Linked DNA regions of Saccharomyces cerevisiae S288C. The gene in region 4 interacts genetically with the main gene of each other region. Each region holds a gene or a part of one and is shown on either strand. Other genes may lie near its edges. The genes, in order: RIC1, SUR1, CSG2 and GEF1.

Evidence for each region.
Region 1: mutations in GEF1 (region 4) and RIC1 together harm fitness more than expected from each alone (negative genetic interaction), as found in Saccharomyces cerevisiae (5 studies listed by BioGRID, with this or other methods).
Region 2: mutations in GEF1 (region 4) and SUR1 together harm fitness more than expected from each alone (negative genetic interaction), as found in Saccharomyces cerevisiae (4 studies listed by BioGRID).
Region 3: mutations in GEF1 (region 4) and CSG2 together harm fitness more than expected from each alone (negative genetic interaction), as found in Saccharomyces cerevisiae (2 studies listed by BioGRID).

The regions. Positions count from the first base shown.
Region 1 is NC_001144.5:224,601-231,167, reverse strand, and holds RIC1 (Ric1p), read left to right. Parts: upstream 1-2,571; coding exon 2,572-5,742; downstream 5,743-6,567. Other genes in the region: NFG1 (Nfg1p), read left to right, coding at 717-1,202; AFB1 (Afb1p), read left to right, coding at 1,586-2,260; COX12 (cytochrome c oxidase subunit VIb), read left to right, coding at 5,996-6,247.
Region 2 is NC_001148.4:450,654-454,952, reverse strand, and holds SUR1 (mannosylinositol phosphorylceramide synthase catalytic subunit SUR1), read left to right. Parts: upstream 1-1,895; coding exon 1,896-3,044; downstream 3,045-4,299. Other genes in the region: LGE1 (Lge1p), read left to right, coding at 1-961; LCL1 (Lcl1p), read left to right, coding at 1,218-1,523. UniProt on the Saccharomyces cerevisiae protein: Involved in the synthesis of mannosyl phosphorylinositol ceramide. Catalyzes the addition of mannosyl to phosphorylinositol ceramide. Suppressor of RVS161 mutation.
Region 3 is NC_001134.8:308,266-312,748, forward strand, and holds CSG2 (mannosylinositol phosphorylceramide synthase regulatory subunit), read right to left. Parts: upstream 2,049-4,483; coding exon 816-2,048; downstream 1-815. Other genes in the region: Cu-binding protein SCO1, read right to left, coding at 2,300-3,187; chitin synthase CHS2, read left to right, coding at 3,633-4,483. UniProt on the Saccharomyces cerevisiae protein: Required for calcium regulation. May regulate calcium accumulation by a non-vacuole organelle. Also regulates the activity of CSH1 and SUR1 during mannosyl phosphorylinositol ceramide synthesis.
Region 4 is NC_001142.9:505,696-511,261, forward strand, and holds GEF1 (Gef1p), read left to right. Parts: upstream 1-2,050; coding exon 2,051-4,390; downstream 4,391-5,566. Other genes in the region: MLO127 (Mlo127p), read left to right, coding at 1-1,606; ribosome biogenesis protein URB2, read right to left, coding at 4,544-5,566. UniProt on the Saccharomyces cerevisiae protein: Anion/proton exchange transporter involved in iron and copper cation homeostasis. Involved in intracellular iron metabolism during growth on fermentable and non fermentable carbon sources.

The DNA.
Region 1 (6,567 bases), on a different chromosome or scaffold from region 4:
CTCCAATAATAATTATACAAATTTGAAACCGAACGCAATGTGCCAAGAAATGTAAACACACTATAGAAAAAAATAGAACGGTGCACATTGTGCTAGCATATCTGCTTGGTTCTGAACAAGAAGCACCTGGCCACTTTCTCCTAGCCCAATTCTTGCCAAGTTTTCAACCTCAATCTTTTGTGTTTGAACAAGCATGTATGAGGGGTCAAAATTTAGTGGAGGCCGCTTACAATCCTTCTATTTCCTCTGGACCTCATTAGCCGTCTGGCCAGACCTAAGCGTCATAATCTGGAGAATTTCATTGCATGCGAGAATATGATAAGTAAGAACTTGTTTATTTATACAAGTTCCACCCACTCATACACGGCTACAATTATGACGTATAATAACGTTTCGTCTAGCCCACCTTTTTTACTTTTGACGTTTTATTTCTTTCGAGGATTTGGCCAAGAATGCCCCGAACAGCGGAAAAAATGGCGTCGCAGTTTCAGATGTATAGACTCATCTTGTAGAAAAAAGAATGCAAGAATGAAGTCTTTTCGTGGTGTTTTGAAAACACTATAAACAAACCGTCAACAAACATTTTGTATAAATATTTAGCTATATATTGAATATCTTGACCAGTAAAGCACCTTGAGAAATTGTAAGCTTGAAGAACGTACTTTGATATCCCTCCGTTTCATCATCCTATAGCTCGTCAACAAATCAAAAAAAATATGAAGATCAGTCAATTTGGCTCTTTAGCTTTCGCCCCAATTGTGCTACTACAACTGTTCATTGTTCAAGCGCAACTTCTCACAGATTCAAATGCTCAGGATTTGAATACTGCCCTTGGACAGAAAGTGCAATACACCTTTCTTGACACTGGAAATTCTAACGATCAACTACTTCATCTTCCAAGCACCACCTCTTCCAGCATTATTACTGGTTCATTAGCTGCTGCTAATTTCACCGGTTCTTCATCATCGTCGTCTATACCAAAAGTCACTTCCAGCGTCATAACATCTATAAATTACCAATCCTCAAATTCTACGGTAGTCACCCAGTTCACGCCATTGCCTTCTTCGTCGAGAAATGAAACAAAAAGCTCTCAAACAACTAATACTATAAGTTCAAGTACAAGCACAGGAGGTGTAGGTTCAGTCAAGCCATGTCTTTACTTCGTTTTAATGTTAGAAACAATCGCTTATTTGTTTTCTTAAACAAATATATTAGGTTCAAGGTCTTCGCAGGTGTAAGAAAACCCGTGGTCTCCATATTCTTAAGTATGATAAATAAAAAAAAACTTAATAAATTATTAATTGCTTCAAACCTTTTTCTTTTTTTAGTTTTTAATATTTCAAACGTTATCTTCATTGAACGCCCAAATAGGGAAAAATCCTGGCAAATTTTTTATTGCTGTCATCCAAGGCTATGCTAGAAAATTCAAGAGCTTGGATGATTTAAAAAGACACTCTCAATCGAGAAAGTTTATTCTTTGTTATTCTGCTTTACCTGATCATATTCCGGCGTATTGTTTCTAATCAAGTGATTTCGATATCCAGTTACGAACCATTTACAACATTCCTGAAAATATTGCGTATCAATGATATTTGCTCCTTCTTTCTCCCTCATTAAAAATATTCTCCTGGTAAGCTTTCTAATCAGCCACAGTTTTGCTGCCAAAACTTTAACGTCTAGTTCCAATGACGATACACTTGCCAGGTCCGCAGCTGCAGATGCAGACATGGCATTCTTCATGGAGTTTTTAAACGATTTCGACACCGCTTTTCCACAGTATACCTCATACATGATGCAAAACCATTTAACCCTACCTCAACCTGTTGCTGACTACTACTATCACATGGTTGATTTGGCCTCAACAGCAGATTTACAATCTGATATTGCTCAGAGTTTTCCGTTCACTCAATTCCAAACATTCATTACGGCCTTTCCATGGTATACCTCTTTGCTAAACAAAGCCTCCGCCACCACCATATACCTTCCCCAACACTTCATAACAGGTGAGACAGAAGCTACCATGACTAACTCATCTTATGCCAGCCAAAAAAACTCCGTTTCCAATTCTGTTCCTTTCTCGACAGCGAACGCAGGCCAGTCCATGATTTCCATGGCTAATGAAGAAAACAGTACAACAGCACTTATATCCGCATCAAACTCTTCTTCAACATCCAGAACTAGTCAATCACAGAATGGTGCCCATGCCAAAAGCTTATATTTCCCCATGGCGTTGTTCGGAATCTTTGCAGTTGCCCTTTAAGTGCCTCAACCAAATTTGACAATTTAATTCCATGGGAGGTCCGCCATCCCTTTTCGCTTTTTTTATAATATGTGTATTATTTATACAAATATGTATATAAGTATGTACTTTTTCAATGGACAATTCGATTTTAAGAGCGTTTTTAGTGACAACGATGAACATCAACTTTGTACAGTATCAAACGATTTATTTTTAACATATTATTATAACTTCTGAATGGCGTTGCCATCTTGGCCAAAATCTTGTCTTTTCTGTCGTTTTATGGCAGGCTTTTGTTCTTTGATGTTAATTCGGCAATACCGACGCCTTTGATGTTCATCAAACAGTCTGAAAAAAATACACCTAAATGCCTCTACAAAAAAAAAGGTAAGGTAAGAGTGTTATTGACCGGAAGCTGTAAGAAACTGAACACGTGGAAAATGCACTTATGGCCAGTCAGTCCGCCCCAATTGCTTAGAATTCCACCCCGCAACGCCGAATTAGGTGAGGGTACTAAAATAGATGATTGCAATATTCTTCAATCAATGACACTACCCCAGGCCAATGTTCTTATCATGCTAACCCCAACAAGAGTGCTCATTTACAACTTCAAACCAATGGCACTAGTAGCTAGCCATGAACGAACAATGGCTTCTCTTAAGGAATTTGGCGATAACAGATCAATGAAACGATCAGCTCCATATAATGATATCATCGAAGGGCTTATTTCAAAAAAGGACTCGCAATACTTATTGTGGCACCAGGGAAAGCTGATATTTTACGTAATGACTGATAAAAACTTCCTTTTAACATACCAAATTTTAAAAAACTGCACAAATGAAATAATTTTCAAAGAATACGGCATACCCGTCATAGAGCCTCTTTTAATGAGTGAAGAAGAAGCGAACAGTGCTGAATATGACTATAACAACGATGATGATACTCTCACGGTATTTGATAAAAATAGTTCTTCAAGAATTATACAGAATGGATTTGGCATAACTAAGGAAAAAGGGTTTTTACACTTTCTTTCTAATCAAGAAAACATTGATGAACTCCCCGTGAAAAAACTAGAACTTCGTTTAAAAGTAGTTCTTAAATTTGACTATGAAATCATAGACATGATTGGCATCAAGACATTTTCCAAAGTCGGGGATGGGCGTTATGAAGAAGTTTTGATAGTTTTATTCCCTCATGGATTACAAATACTTACAATATCGGATTTTAAAGTTAGCAAGAGCTCGTTGGTTGAAGTGAAGAAGGGATCCAAGACAATTGTGTGTAATAAACAATTAATGGTTTTATCTCATGATTCCGTCGAAAAGCAGACTATTGTAAGCATTATAGACATTGAAAAGCAAGCTGTTGAAGCAATACCGTTAACGGACACACCAGATGAACTTTTGACTTGCCTAGAAGTTAATGGATACCTGGTGGTCGTTTACAAAGAAAAAATAATCTGCTTTGATACAAGAATTAAAAAAGTAAGCCATTCTTGGAAACCACCATTTGTGATAAAACTTTGCGATAAAATTAATGATAAAATATTACTTTTGGTTTCTGAGGATAGTGTTAACATTCATTTTTACACAGAATTTGGGAATCTGCTATTCGCTACATATTTTGACGAAGATGATTATAATGGTGATAACAATAATGACAACAGCAAGGATAAAAATGAGAAAAAGGCGGCTGAATATAAAATTTCTGATTTTGTATGCTTGGATAAATCACTAATAACAGTGTCTCATTCCGGAAAATATCAAGTTTGGAAATTATGGGAAGAAATAAAACAAACACAATTTGATTTCAGAAACCCAAAATGTTACGTATTAACCAATACGAACAATGATGTAATCATATATTCACCTGTGACAAGTTCTTCAATCAATAATGATAATTTACAAGTCATAAAACTTCCTACAAAGACTTTCAATAATCATATTGCTTTTGTAAAAATTAATTCTTCCTTGAGGTTATTTGCTACTTATGTGTCGAACAAAAACATACTGCTTATCCACAATCTAGAGACCAATATGTGGTCTAGTTTTGCTGACCAAAACGTGTTGGATTTACATTGGCTAGGTGATAATTATTTGGTTTGTCATATGAAGAATGATGATGGCTCAACAAATCTGAAATGTCTGCAGATTCCACTGCAAGAAGCGAATCCGGACGTGGAACTATCAGATTATGTCATGTGGGAATACAATGTTCCAGAGAATACGATTGTTTTCAGTTTACATGTTAATACTTTATCCCGGTATAAGTTGTTGAAAATGAAATCCAAGAATCACAATGCTTCTGAAAAACAACCTGATGCATTGCTTAAAACTGCCGAGATTATTTTAGTTACTGATACACAGACAATTGTCTTCGATGTAATTTCTACTGTACATCCATGTGGATTAAACATCATCAAAAAATTCTACCAGTATCTCAAAATTAACATTCCAATTGATGTTTTACCCAACAAAATTGAGTGGATAATTAACATGAAGGAGGGCTTGTTATTTTTTGCCGATAGGAAATTTATAAAGCTTGGCAAAGTGGATGGAGGGGGCTGGCAAACCTTAACTTTGTTGGATAACATAGAAAAAATAATCGATGTTATCAGGGACGAAATATTTGTAGTTCAAGGCCATAATTACGTCGTATACTCTTTGGAAGATTTATGGGATGATAAAAAGCCACTAGTTTCCATTCCAATCGAAGAAGATTTGTATCCAATATCAACCACCCCAGAAACAGCTACAACACATACACTTCACTGCATTTTTAACGCGCGATTTTCCAAATTGGTGGTGAAACACCAAATATACCTCGACCAATTAATCTTAGCCAAATTAGAAGACAACACAGATTTGGAGGATATTTCACACAATTATCGTTTTTTAAAGCCTTACAAATTTGCACTCGAAAAGATTTTGTCTACTAAAATACTGCGAAGCGACTCTTTGGATGATATCCTGAAATTAATTAAGATGTATGACAACACCGATCCTGAGCATAATATTTCACCACCAACCCACAGTGGTATGTTAGAAATTATTAGTAATTGTTTAAGGAAGATCGAAACTAAATACTGGAACCATCTATTCACTAATCTAAAGATGACACCAAGAGATTTATTAGCACTCTGTATCGAAGAAAATGAGGCTAAAATGCTTGGCGTACTTCTGTTAGTGTTTTTAAATTACGATGAGAAAGATTTGGGAGATGATCTACATTTTAAGAAATCAGATTTAGGGACTGAGGAAAGCAAAGCTCTAAATGATAACTCTACAAAAAAGTCAGAGAAATCTGTCACTAATTTATTGAAGGATGAAGAATTAATGCTTAAAGTCTTAGAGCTTTTGGTGACAAGTGCTGCAAACGCCACAGACCCAATTAAAGCTACCGATTCGTGGGACATGTGTTTCCAATTAATACGCTTACTCAAGGAATTAGACAGAGAAAACAACACACAATTGGTTCAAAAAGCACTCGAGAGATTCAAATAAATCTATATGACACCATGTATTCTTTACCATATAGCTTCATAACATTGACCAATCAATTTTCAGAAATGCGTCGCGCGTAGTTTTGCCCGATATCCCCATCCCTTCAGGATCTTTAAAAGGTGATGAAAGATGCACCAGATAGAAAAGTTGCATTAAAATGATTAGCAGAGATATACAAATATTTTAGTAAGAATACATAAAGTATCTTTGCTTTCACAAATAGGAACAAGCACATAAATACAGTATAATAGACATGGCTGATCAAGAAAACTCTCCACTACATACAGTTGGTTTCGATGCTAGATTTCCCCAACAAAACCAAACAAAGCATTGTTGGCAATCTTATGTGGATTATCACAAGTGTGTTAATATGAAGGGCGAAGATTTTGCTCCGTGCAAGGTCTTTTGGAAGACCTATAACGCCTTATGTCCCCTAGACTGGATCGAAAAATGGGATGATCAAAGAGAAAAAGGTATTTTCGCAGGTGATATCAACTCAGACTAAGGATCTTAGTTTCGTTTTTAGTAATGTGCACTTAGCCTTTTTTATATCATTATTATTAATTACTAGAATTCATTTTTGCGTAGTAGACCTACACGGGATGAAGGATATCTATATGAAAAGTAAAGTAACAATAGGAGATAATGAAAAAGTGATATCATACGCTAACGAATGTTCATGATGGAGCCAAATTCCTAAAAATCAAACAAACAGAAAAAAATGAGAATGATGTGGGGTACTGAAGTTTTATTTTTCATATTTATTTTTAATTATAGTAAGTAGCCATTTCTATATATATTCAAAAATTATTTGACCCTCGTAAC
Region 2 (4,299 bases), on a different chromosome or scaffold from region 4:
ATCCACTCCTCCGAGACAAAGGGGGGGTTATCACCATGCGAGACGAAGTAGAGGTGGAGCAGGCGGATCGTATTACAGAGGCGGTAATGCGTCTTATGGCGCGAGATACAACAGTGACTATGAGCAGCCGCCCCAAGAGGGAGACTTGAGACAAACCGGAGCATACTATCGAAACGGATACACAGATACAAGGCCGTACTATTCAGCTAATAGCAGGCATTACCAAGCACAACCATCCCCCAGGTACAACAATGGTACAAATTCGTACCACCTACCGCAACGTGGCAATAGTCAAGATACGAACGGCAGGACCACGAGCGCCTCGCAAGAAGATAATGACGAAAAAAGAGTCAAGTCCAGATACCGGAACATGCAGGCAGATCATCCACGCCAACAACCGATGAGCGTTGGCAGCACCAGCAGCAGAAATGGTAGTAGTGGGAACAGCAGCACTAGCAGCACCAGCAACGGGCTTCCGCCACCACCTTCAGTATCGTCTATAACCAACAATAGATCATATCACAGCAGTGCTTATCCATATTCCAGCAGCCATACTTACAATAATTACCACCACCGTGAGACACCACCGCCTCCCCCATCGAATGGCTATTATGCAAAGGGTTACCCAGTACACGTACCAGAAAATAGAAGTAACAGCGACGGCTCTAGCAGCAGCGTCGTCAAGAAGAAAAGAATACTAGATATGAAAGATTCCCCCTTTATTTACTTGACAGATTTTGATAAAAATGTGAAAAAGACAAACAACACCGAAAGTGAATGTGAAAAGGCGAGGGAAGTTTTCAAAGAGAGCGATTCCATCGATTCCGCTTTGGAAGAACTAAACCTAAAAATCAATTCTAATGAGCTAGAATTGCGGCTCCTAAATAACCAGTGCGACAAGCATGCATTAAATATTCAACTGACCCAAGAAAAGCTGGACTCATTGTTATTAATGCAGTAGGGTATACCGTACCTATAAATAGATAAACTACGTAAACGCAAGCGGCGGAAATTGAAAAAGGAAATTATAAGGAAGTGACTAGCGTTTTGATTTCATGAATCGAGAAAAGGTACTGCTAGGTTAAGCCCGATTAGGTAAAGAGCCAGGAAAGCGACTAGGAAAGCGACTACGAAAAAAGAAAAAACTGCGAAACTGTGAAAGTGCGTGTCAGCCATCTGTCTTTGGAATCGATTATCTATTTGCTTTGATCCCCTTTATGAAGAACGCAGCATTGTGTGAGGCTCTTCCTCTGCTCGCCACGTGCTCCCACGAAATCCCACCCACACCACACACGGTCTGTTTCGTCTTCCCCCCCGCATTATTACTATCCCCGAGCAAACTCACACTTTTGAATTCGCGTCGCGTCGCGTCGCGCTGCGTCATTATCATTGACCCACGCTTGCTGCGTCTCTTCTCTTGCTCCCGGCCACAACAACTCCCCCGGGATAAAAACCAATCTTTTGCTAAGCCATCTTTTTCTTTTTTTTTCTTTCTTCTTACCTCGTTATTATCGCCTTTCTAAACTTCCTTGGCCAAGCCTTTCAGCGGTGCTTTTTTGTTCTCACGTCCACTGCCAATTTCCACATTTTTTTCCCCTCTTGTTATATATAAACTTTTCTACTTGGAAAAAATGGTTAGAGGAGTGAAGACACAGGGAGGAGGCTTACGCAGATATTTTACGTTTTCTGCTTTTTCTTTTCTAATATAGTTAAATAAAAGGTGCCAACATTCCCGTCATATTTTGCTTCGCATGTTTTGTTTTCTTTAACCTGTTGTAATATTCATCATCGGATTCAAATAAACACATACAAACAAACAATAAATCGGAAGACACTTTTCATTTTCGCATATTTGCTTTACTCTATTTTTCTGATTTTCCGCTGTTGCACTCACGATGAGAAAAGAATTAAAATACCTTATCTGCTTCAACATACTCCTCCTGTTATCTATAATATACTACACTTTCGATTTGCTAACGTTGTGTATTGACGATACTGTTAAAGATGCTATACTTGAGGAAGACTTAAATCCAGATGCACCTCCAAAGCCTCAACTAATACCTAAAATCATACATCAGACTTATAAAACGGAAGACATCCCTGAGCACTGGAAAGAGGGTAGACAAAAATGTCTCGATCTACATCCAGATTACAAGTACATCCTATGGACGGACGAGATGGCCTATGAGTTTATAAAGGAAGAATACCCGTGGTTTCTCGATACTTTTGAGAACTACAAATACCCCATAGAACGTGCCGATGCCATTCGTTACTTTATCCTGTCCCATTATGGTGGTGTATACATCGATTTAGATGACGGCTGCGAAAGGAAACTAGATCCTTTGTTAGCTTTCCCGGCCTTCTTAAGAAAGACTTCACCTTTAGGTGTCTCAAACGATGTCATGGGTTCTGTGCCTAGACATCCCTTCTTTTTAAAGGCTTTAAAGTCTTTGAAACACTATGACAAGTACTGGTTTATCCCTTACATGACTATTATGGGGTCTACTGGTCCGTTGTTTTTAAGTGTTATTTGGAAGCAGTACAAAAGATGGCGCATACCTAAGAACGGGACAGTAAGAATCCTACAACCTGCTTACTACAAGATGCATAGTTATTCATTTTTCTCCATTACTAAAGGCTCTTCATGGCATTTAGATGATGCAAAATTGATGAAAGCACTAGAAAACCACATCTTATCCTGCGTCGTTACCGGATTTATTTTTGGCTTCTTTATCCTATATGGTGAATTCACGTTCTATTGCTGGTTGTGTTCCAAGAATTTCAGTAATCTAACCAAAAATTGGAAACTTAATGCTATAAAAGTAAGATTTGTCACAATTCTAAATTCATTAGGCTTAAGACTAAAGTTGAGTAAAAGTACCAGTGATACTGCCAGTGCCACTTTGCTGGCAAGGCAGCAGAAACGATTGAGGAAAGATTCCAATACAAACATAGTGTTACTAAAATCTTCAAGGAAAAGTGATGTTTACGATTTAGAAAAGAATGATTCTTCTAAGTACTCACTGGGAAATAACAGCTCGTAAGAGAATGGTATGACTCCAACAATTCATATCAGACTTTATATTTCAATTCGCGGCAAAAAAAGCAAAAGAAATGGGAAGGAAAATTGCATGGGATGAAAAAAAAATACAAAATTGATACAAATCTCTAGCAGCCTGAAGACCAGTCTTGTACTTCGCTACTTTGCAAGACAAGGAGTACTATTTGCTCGCTTCTTACGACATACTACTCCGCTTGGCACGCCTGTCTACCTTGCTTTTTTTGCTCGTCATTTTTTTTTTTCGCATGCTCCCTATTTCATGTTACAATTTACGACCTCCAGCATCAACATAATCATTCTTCAAACCAGGCCTGTTTTATTACTGTGATATTACCCTCTATACTACGATATCTTTGTTTTGCATTTTACATTCAACTTTTATATATATATATATAAATATAACCTAAAAGAATATGAACACTTCCTCACAACAAAAACTAGGATAACAACCGTGTGTGGGCGCCGCTCCGGTCAATGCGTGCGTGCTTTTGCGCGCGCCTTATGCTCAGAAACATCGCAACGGAGTAAGAATGTTCTCTTTTCCCTATTGCACAGACTAATTTAGAAATGTAATTACTCGACTAGTAGCCGCTCGAAGAGTGCCATTTACTTTTCCGCGTTTCGGTTTCGGCTTTCAATTGTTTAGTTTAGACTTTCAGGCGCCTGACTACGATTTACCTCATCAGGACTTTCGCGCCGAAAATAGACCTTATATTATTCTGACGATAGTGGCCTCTAAACCAAAGATGGATTGTTTACCAGCCGGCAGGACTCTGTTGATTTGTTTCACCTGTGATGGTGGACGGTTCTTAAAATTCAGGCACCTGTTAATAATATAATTGTGCAAATGCGCGCTTTTTTCGCCGCTCACGGTTCCTAACCTGGTCCCTTACCAACCGGTCCCTTGGTCATTTTACCGCATCCATCTCACAGGGTAACCAAAACCCTTCCTCAGGGCAGCTTGGCAATGGTGCATCTTTCTTTTTATGGCTCATCAGACTGACACCCTGCATCCGTTAAGAGCCGATTCGCCGGAATTTCTCGATTTTTTTCCGTAAAGTGTTTGGGATCTGCTACTTTTTCGATCTTTCGGCTATGGCTCATACAAAACATACACTACAGCCGGTTTTTCTTCACTATTCTTTAGCCACGTCCACCGCAGGGATTCGGTATCACATTTTCTCGACGGTTCTTATGATTATTTCTTACCTTTTAGGCAATTCTATCCTGAATGAAAT
Region 3 (4,483 bases), on a different chromosome or scaffold from region 4:
AAAAGGAAAAAGAACGTCAGGGAACATGAGTATATATAGAAATGGTTTATTCTAGTTTTTTCCGTTTTTTCAGTAGATTTTTGCCTTTAAAAGAATAAATCCCACTACAAAAAGGTAAAATAAAAAATCTATTCACTGAACTTACTGATGAAATTTCCAAATGTGCCCCGTACATCGAACGATGTGACAGAGAAAAATACGAGTAGGTAAATAAGCCAAAAGGCAAGGGTGTCCTTTCTTAAGCATCGGTTAGGTTTGCGGGCGATCAGTAACTGAACAATGACACAAGATCAAGAACGTAATTTGAGATTTTTCAAGATGGTTTTTTTAGGTATCTATTAAAACTACTTTGATGATCAATACGGTATTTTTGTCGCATTATTTTCCAAGCGGAAGGAACCGTGTGTTCATTTTATGAATCTTGGTGTTGTATTCACAGCTACTTCTCCTAATGCCTTCGATGCATTTAGATAATTTTTGGAAACATTTTTTTTCTTGATGTATATTTTTTGTATTGTAGAAATCGCGCGTACTGTACTTGTATATCGCTTTATAAGCGCTTTTAATTGATTGTTCATGACGAGGATAGGCGGATAGGCGGAGGTATGCCTCTTAATATTTATAATAAAGCCCACCAAATGGCTTCTTCTTTTTAGAATATACAATATACAAATAAAAATAAAAAAATAGAAGAACATCCTAGTAATTGTCTTGAAAATAATCAAGATATTGATTGGGATTTTTTATTTAGGGAAACCAAATAATTGCATATGCTTGTTACATCATCATCAGTCATATAAAGTATGTTGTCCGTACTAATGGTGGTATTTACCTTCCCCGAGTGTTACTGATAGGACCAACAAACTTACCGTTAGCATTATGTATCCTATGACTTCCCATCTCACAATTGTGGTTTGCGTAGGTTCGCAAACCCACTCAGCTAACCCCATAAAGATAATAGCTCCCAGGTTGCACGTCGTCAAATACTCAGCAGGGGCCTTGCGATTCAACTCTAATATCGAAATCAAGCTCGGCAAGGAACCAAAGATAATCGAGCCTAGTAGAGAGAACCAAAAGCTCTTGTCATTATAGAACAACGAAATGGATTCCACAGACTCACGGGAGGGAAATTTAGGAATAAATGGCAAAAGTATTACCATGCCAATAATACCGATTAGGGCCATGTGGGTGCTCTGCTTAACCAAGACTACAGCAGAATTTTCGTTCTTGGAAATGTTACTGCAAAACCAACGGTTCCATAACACGGCAAAAGGACCCATAATCAAAGCACCAAGGCCGCAAATCAGAGCACCTTTCAACCTATCAAACAAGAATGGGTCAGAAAGTTCACCCGTGTTAGGGTTGACGGACAGCTTTCCGGCAAGCATGTCACAGGTAGCCTTCGTGTATGAGATGATCAAAATTCCAATGACCGCGTTCATCATGATGAGGAAATTACGGAAAACGTAGTTCTTCCTGGAGATTCCACAAACACCATATAGTAAAGTGACAATTTCGAAAATGGCAGTATTTTGCATCAAAGCAACATCAAATGCCGGTGACAATGACAAAGCCATGTTATAAGTCAAATCAGCGACAATCATTATGAGAGCCAGCACTGTTAGCTTAGCCACATATTTGAAGGTAGCCACGGATATGATTTTTTGCTTCTGCTGTTGGGCTGGAATCCGTGGTTGAGGATCATCCAACACGTGCGAGAACGTATCGACATCTTCGTTTGTCACAGACCCGCTGTTGTTGTTGTCAAACTGAGAATTCCTGTTCGAGTCTGAGTCAGAGACAAACATCGGTCTCATCTTCTCCCAAAGTCGAGATGCAGGCACCAAGAGCAGCCACGAAGCAAAATACATAAAGGTCAGATAGAAGGTTAATGAACTTGAGTTTCCGTTGTCGCCGTTAGTTTCAGGCGTTGCAATTGTACCATTGGGCCCCACGGAGATTTCCTTTTTAGATTGTATGTTAGACAAACATTTTGTTTGAATCACGTAGCCTATTACACTTGAAAACCAAAGTAGTGTGGTAGACATGACGCTGTATCTTTGTTTGTTATCGTGCTAACTCACCAGCTCAAGAGCGGATCTGTTCTGGAAGAAAATGGCCTACAAACATTTCTTTCACTTGATCTTCCCACGTTCACATAGCCTCCTTTAGAGTGAGAGAGCTTTTTTTTTTCTTGCGATACACCTTCGCCGGGTGATAGCCGATATTACAAGAACGGGTTATAGCGTTATAAGTATATATGTATATACAAGGAAGAAAGTAGCATATATTTACAATCTTATTTGAATAAGAAGGAGTACCATGCCTCCTTCTGCTTGGCGCGCTGCTCTGCAGGCACATAACTCTTAACGTGTTCCACGATCTTGTCCACGCCCGTTTTTTCATCATAATTTCTACCCAAAGCATCAACAAACTGTCCTTCAGGGTCCATGAGATAAAAGAAGATGGAATGGTCTACCAAATAATCTTGGCCCGGTTTGACGTTTGGAGGCGTAGAAAAGTATACTCTGTACTTCTTGCATGCGTTCTTCACCTCATCGAACGTCCCCGTCAAACCCAGGATGGAGGGATGAAAGTCGCTCAAATACTCTTTCAATACAGCAGGGGAGTCTCTTGCTGGATCACAAGTTATAAATAATGGCTGCAGAGTAATACCATACTTTGAAGAGAGTGTATTAAGCCATAGACCTAGCTTATCCAGTTCATCAGGACAGATGTCAGGACAGTTACTAAACCCAAAGTATATTATAGAAAACTTACCGAGAAGGTTTTTCTCCGTAAACTCATTGCCATACATATCCTCCAGATGGAAGGGTCCCCCAAGTGAAGGTTTACCGTATCCTCTGTTTGCTTCAGCCTCCTTCTGTGTTTCCAATCTGCGTTTCTCCCTGTTGAAGAAATAAGAAAGTGCCCCACCGACTGCTAGGAATAGAGCAATGGCCTTTCCCGTGGAAAACTCGATCGAGCCTTCTCGCACTTTGCCGTTATCCTTAATGGGAGTACCGCCCACAGGTACTCTGCTTAATGGTTTCTTGCCATTTGACTGCCATAAGCGCGTTACAGTAAAGAATCCCCTTTGAGTGAGCAATTTAGCGCCATTGCCACTTAATCTTGCGGCTGGCAATTGGACCAATCTTAGATTGGCACTTCTTGACAACTTCAGCATCTTTTCTACGTTTGCTGTTTTTTCTGTTTCCCTTGCCTTATACGAACATACGTTTCTAATGCCGATTATAAACACAATAGACACAATTATACTATTTTCTCACTTTTCTCTTCGGGAGATCGCTATTGATTATTATTCCCGTTTATTTCCTTCAATTTAGGGTCTGAAAAGAAGATAGTAGGGTTAGTTTTTTGGGGTTTAAAACCCTAGTATAAACCCCTATACTATTTGTTTATATATTTCCTATTTGAGTATGATAGCATCGATATTGAAATTTACAGAACTTCAATTTAGTTTCAATTGGGAATTCGAGGACTCTCCCTTGGGATGGCCCCAGTCTATTTAACTATCTTCCATAATATTACTGTTGATTTCGTGACTCAGAAGAGAAAACAGAGGAAGTTACATATAGACCCAAATAAAAACCAAAGAACCACATATAGAAATGACGAGAAACCCGTTTATGGTGGAACCTTCGAATGGCTCTCCTAATAGACGTGGTGCTTCAAACCTCTCCAAATTTTACGCAAACGCTAACAGCAACTCTCGGTGGGCTAATCCCAGTGAGGAGAGTTTGGAGGATAGCTATGACCAATCTAACGTTTTCCAAGGCCTTCCGGCATCTCCTTCGAGAGCTGCACTAAGATACTCCCCAGACCGTCGCCATAGAACTCAATTTTACCGCGATAGTGCCCATAACTCTCCAGTTGCTCCGAACAGGTATGCTGCTAATCTACAAGAGTCTCCCAAAAGAGCAGGCGAGGCTGTCATACATCTAAGTGAGGGGAGTAACCTTTACCCCCGCGATAATGCAGATCTACCGGTAGACCCCTACCATCTATCACCCCAGCAACAGCCCAGTAACAATCTGTTTGGAAGTGGCAGATTGTATTCTCAAAGCTCGAAATACACGATGTCTACTACTTCCACAACGGCTCCCTCTCTGGCAGAAGCAGACGATGAAAAGGAAAAATACCTCACTTCGACTACTTCCTATGATGATCAGTCTACAATTTTCTCTGCAGACACTTTCAATGAAACAAAATTTGAACTGAACCATCCAACAAGACAGCAGTATGTAAGACGTGCCAATTCTGAGAGTAAGAGAAGAATGGTCTCAGACTTGCCTCCCCCAAGCAAGAAGAAGGCACTATTGAAACTAGACAACCCGATACCAAAAGGTCTGTTGGATACTTTGCCTCGTAGGAACTCCCCTGAGTTTACGGAAATGAGATATACAGCCTGCACTGTGGAACCTGACGATTTTTTGAGAGAAGGTTACACTTTGAGATTCGC
Region 4 (5,566 bases):
TTCTGACTTAGCGTCCATTTTCCTATATGAATACGAAAGCACGGTCTACATTTTCATGTCTGACACCGAAGGAAACCTTTGCGTTATGAAATTGGCAACTTTTGAGATCGTAGAAGAGGTTAAAATTTGCAAGAAGAAGTTACAGTTCTGTGAAGTCCCTAACTCAGATTATTTTTTTATATATACAGCCGATACTATAATTTTTTTCAAGCCAAGTAAAATAAAAGGTAGATTTAAAATCCAAGAAGTATATGCACCATGTCCTATAAGCTGTTTGATACCTGGAGAAAAAGATGGCTCAGTTGTTATGGTTACTTCTCAAGGTCAATTTTACGACGTACTTGTTCCTGGTGATGCCGGAAGGGCTACTCTTTGTTCTAAGTTTGAAAAAGTTTTAAAAACATGTCTCAAATTTATAACTTTGGAATCTTCATCAAGATATGTGATTGTAGCGGCCCTGCCAGTAGCAAATCCATTGCAGGACAAGTATTCCGAAATTTATGTGTATGATATTAAACAGTTCAAAAACATTTCCGCATTCAATTTTTCTAACCTCAACAATGATATCGAGAGTATAAAATATGAAAACGCTATGATATCAGATATTATTGCCGTACCCATGCTCAAAAGAACCGAAACATTAGGAAAAAGAAAGACTTCTGAGCTGTATAAGGAAGTGATTTTCAATTCATGTATCTTGGTGTCTCTAAATTTAGACTCAATAGACGGTATTGATAGTAAAAATATGAATAACCTATTATTGTTTTCATTTGATGAGGAATCGGGTTTTATTGAATTTGTTTTTGGGATTAACACGGGGTTCTCAATCAGTGGGTTACATAACTATTACAATGGATGTGTTTTGGTTTATGGGGAGTTTGTGCAAGCTTATCAACTGAACTATTCAGTTCATGATAACAAGTTCAGTATTGAACAGGTTTCAAATAGGTTGAATATTTCTGGTATTACAATAACATCATCTATATTTTTTGATAAAAGGAAGGCAAAGATGGCTAGGAAGCAGCAAAATATAGGTACATGGGTTTATTTGGAAGAAATGATTTTACTTGATGTACGGAAAGGTGTGATGAGGTTCAATGTCATCCATACAACAGACGGTAACATAGAAAAGGTTCAATTGCAGGTACAGCCTCTGAATTTATTTGAGAGGGACCTCATCAATAGCATTACCGACACCGGGAAAATGTTTACCGGTGCAGCCGCTATAACTTTCAAGAATATTAGGTATCTACTAATTTCGTACGGTGATCAAAAGCTCACGTTATTTAGTTTAAAACTTGATGGTGAGGAAGAAATAGACGAAAGAGTGTACCATGTTGCTGAGCAAGTTACAACCATCAACTCTGTAAGAACTACTGATTCCAGAATGAGCACGTTTTTAGGCGAATCTACATTTATGCCCTTATTCTTAGTAAGTACCTTGTCTAACGGTTGTTATGTGATCGGAATCCTGCATGAAGAGTCAGATATCTCATTACATATCTTATCAGAAAAGAAAGCTGTCTTCGCAAAGCGGTCGGTTCAAAAGTTCCTGGGCTTCCTCGATCCTCAAATGGATGATCACACTGTAATATCTGAAATTTAGTGTCTACGTTATGATATATACACTTACAAATTTACTTTCCTTTTTTAGTATAGTTTTCAAGTAAAATTCTTGAAGCGGTGTTGTTTTTGTTTGTTCTTCGTTTAGCAAAAGTCATTGTTAAATACACGCTATAATATGGCCATGACCGTAGGACCGAATGCTGTCCGAAAAATGATACTTATCACACATTTCAAATAAGATCGGTTTTGTAGTTCAAAGATTTCTTAAGAGCCTTTTACGTGTTTCTTAAGAAACACTTCACATTGGCTATCATTATTAGTAAATAGATTTATATGATTTTCACTTATTAAGGACAGAAATGTCGCGATTTCGAACCCATAAAAAAAGGAAAAGCACCGCCTGTTCTCCAGTCTTCATAAAAGCACACCGTATAGAAAGGGCGGTGAATGTTGATCTTGCATACTATAAAATTATTTGACACTAATGCCAACAACTTATGTGCCAATAAATCAACCAATTGGGGATGGTGAAGATGTCATTGACACCAATCGATTCACCAATATTCCAGAAACGCAAAATTTTGACCAATTTGTTACAATTGATAAGATTGCTGAGGAAAATAGACCACTGTCTGTAGACTCGGACAGGGAGTTCCTTAATTCAAAATATCGACATTACCGAGAGGTTATATGGGACCGTGCAAAAACATTTATCACATTAAGCTCTACGGCCATAGTTATTGGATGTATTGCTGGTTTCCTACAAGTCTTCACGGAAACTCTGGTTAACTGGAAAACAGGTCATTGTCAGAGGAACTGGCTACTTAATAAATCCTTCTGTTGTAACGGCGTGGTTAATGAGGTTACCTCTACAAGCAATTTACTACTGAAAAGACAAGAGTTTGAATGCGAGGCACAAGGGCTTTGGATTGCCTGGAAGGGACATGTGTCCCCTTTTATAATTTTCATGCTTTTGTCAGTCTTATTTGCTCTAATTAGTACACTGTTAGTCAAATATGTTGCTCCTATGGCTACTGGTTCAGGAATCTCAGAGATTAAGGTATGGGTATCAGGTTTTGAATACAATAAGGAATTTTTGGGTTTCTTAACATTAGTCATTAAAAGTGTTGCCCTTCCTTTGGCTATTTCTTCGGGATTAAGCGTAGGTAAAGAAGGGCCCTCAGTTCATTATGCAACCTGTTGTGGGTACTTACTCACAAAATGGCTACTAAGAGATACTTTGACGTATTCATCGCAATATGAGTATATCACAGCAGCTAGTGGAGCAGGTGTTGCGGTTGCTTTTGGTGCTCCTATTGGTGGTGTCCTTTTTGGTTTGGAAGAGATTGCTTCTGCGAATAGGTTTAACTCCTCTACCTTATGGAAATCCTATTATGTCGCCCTAGTCGCAATAACTACTTTGAAGTACATTGATCCATTTAGGAATGGCAGAGTTATTTTATTCAATGTAACATATGATAGAGACTGGAAGGTACAAGAGATTCCGATCTTTATAGCCTTAGGAATCTTTGGTGGTTTATATGGAAAATATATTAGTAAGTGGAACATCAACTTTATTCACTTTCGCAAAATGTACCTGTCCTCATGGCCAGTTCAAGAAGTGCTTTTTTTGGCGACGCTTACTGCTTTGATTTCTTACTTCAATGAGTTCTTGAAATTAGACATGACAGAAAGTATGGGTATATTGTTTCATGAATGTGTCAAGAACGATAACACCTCAACTTTTAGTCATAGGTTATGTCAGTTGGATGAAAATACGCACGCTTTTGAGTTCTTAAAAATTTTTACTTCCCTATGCTTTGCCACTGTTATCAGGGCCTTGTTGGTGGTGGTATCATATGGCGCCAGAGTTCCTGCCGGAATCTTTGTTCCTTCAATGGCGGTTGGGGCCACATTTGGACGGGCAGTAAGTCTACTGGTAGAGAGATTTATAAGTGGCCCTTCTGTTATTACTCCTGGTGCCTACGCCTTCCTGGGAGCAGCCGCTACCTTGAGCGGGATAACTAACTTGACTTTAACTGTGGTGGTAATAATGTTCGAGCTAACAGGCGCCTTCATGTATATCATACCCCTTATGATTGTAGTGGCAATAACAAGGATAATTTTAAGCACGTCTGGTATTTCTGGCGGTATTGCTGATCAAATGATCATGGTTAATGGATTCCCATATTTGGAAGACGAGCAAGACGAGGAAGAGGAGGAAACCTTAGAAAAATACACTGCAGAGCAGCTCATGTCCTCCAAATTAATTACTATTAATGAAACCATTTACCTTTCCGAGCTTGAATCTTTGTTGTACGACTCAGCGTCTGAATATTCTGTGCATGGTTTTCCAATAACTAAGGATGAGGATAAGTTTGAGAAGGAAAAAAGATGTATTGGCTATGTTTTAAAAAGGCACTTAGCCAGTAAAATCATGATGCAAAGCGTAAATAGCACCAAAGCTCAAACGACACTGGTATACTTCAATAAGTCTAACGAAGAGTTGGGACATCGTGAAAACTGCATCGGATTTAAGGATATTATGAATGAATCTCCAATCTCGGTGAAGAAGGCGGTGCCAGTAACATTGTTATTCCGTATGTTTAAAGAGCTAGGTTGTAAGACTATCATCGTAGAGGAAAGTGGAATTTTAAAGGGGTTGGTCACTGCTAAAGATATTTTGAGGTTCAAAAGAATTAAGTATCGAGAAGTTCACGGTGCGAAATTTACATATAATGAAGCACTTGATAGAAGATGTTGGTCAGTTATCCATTTCATAATCAAAAGGTTTACCACTAATCGAAATGGTAACGTTATATGATTAGACATTTATGTAATTTTTAAGGCGCTAGTATAGATTATTCAAAATTATATGATACAGACTTTTATCAATTTTTACTTGTTTAAGCTCCGTCACCCTGTTATTAAACGTGAGCAGAGAAATGCCTTTTGAAAACACACTAAAACACATAAGTTAATCTTCGCGCCATTTACCAACCTTTTTGTATTGGAGGTAAAGTGCTTTGAAATATTGTTTCCCAGGTGTGTCAAGGAAAGCGTTCAATTGATTCAACTCGTTCTGAGATAATATATCAAAAATCGCATGAATACCGGGCTGCAGACTCTTTTTTATGTTTAAACTGAACTGCGTCGTAATAGACAACTGTATATATTTCGTTAGAACCACAAGTACATTTTTTCTGATGGACTGCTTTATCAAACTTATCTTTGAGCTTAAGTTATTTTTCTGCCCATTTTGAGCGTTTGATACATTATAAGGCTCGCAGTAGTTCGTTATTAGTCTGGCTACGGCGTCTGCTGAATTTGCACACAATGTACCATCATGAATTGCTATTATTTCTAGTATCTGGCAAAGAACGGAGTTAAACAAATGGTGACGATTGGAAAATTTAAACCTGTGAACTAATAGCATATGATCTATCACTTCGATGATGTTAATAAAGCCTTCATTGATTTCATCCGTTGACTCATGGTTTACTATAAAAGCGAGAGTTTTTAAACAGAAAGGAAGCAGCATTTCAATACAGTATTGGCTGAATAGCCATGGTTTCGATACTAAGAACTCCTTGATAGCATTGAACAGTAGCAAGTATGACTTGTAGCCAAATTTTTCTATATCACAATAGGTGTAGGCTTCAAGTAAAGCTATCACAAATAGGTGATGACCAAGGTTATTGTCTCTTGCAATCCTTTTTGACATTATGATAAAAACTCTCACAAATTTTTCAGCACAAGGTTGGCTAATGGTGGAAAACGATTTAGCACTGTTCCAGAGCAGGCGGTTAAACGCATCAGGACCTTGTTTAAGACTTTCTTCCAAGCAGAACCCCAAGGCAGAATCGCACTTATCTGTATGCTCAATATTTAAGTACTCTGCAAAAATATACTCCAACTTGTTTTCTGTAAGGAGTGAATGAACCAAAAACATTTCCTGTTCTTCTGGCGCATGGTACACTTTTTTAGAATGATATCGAAG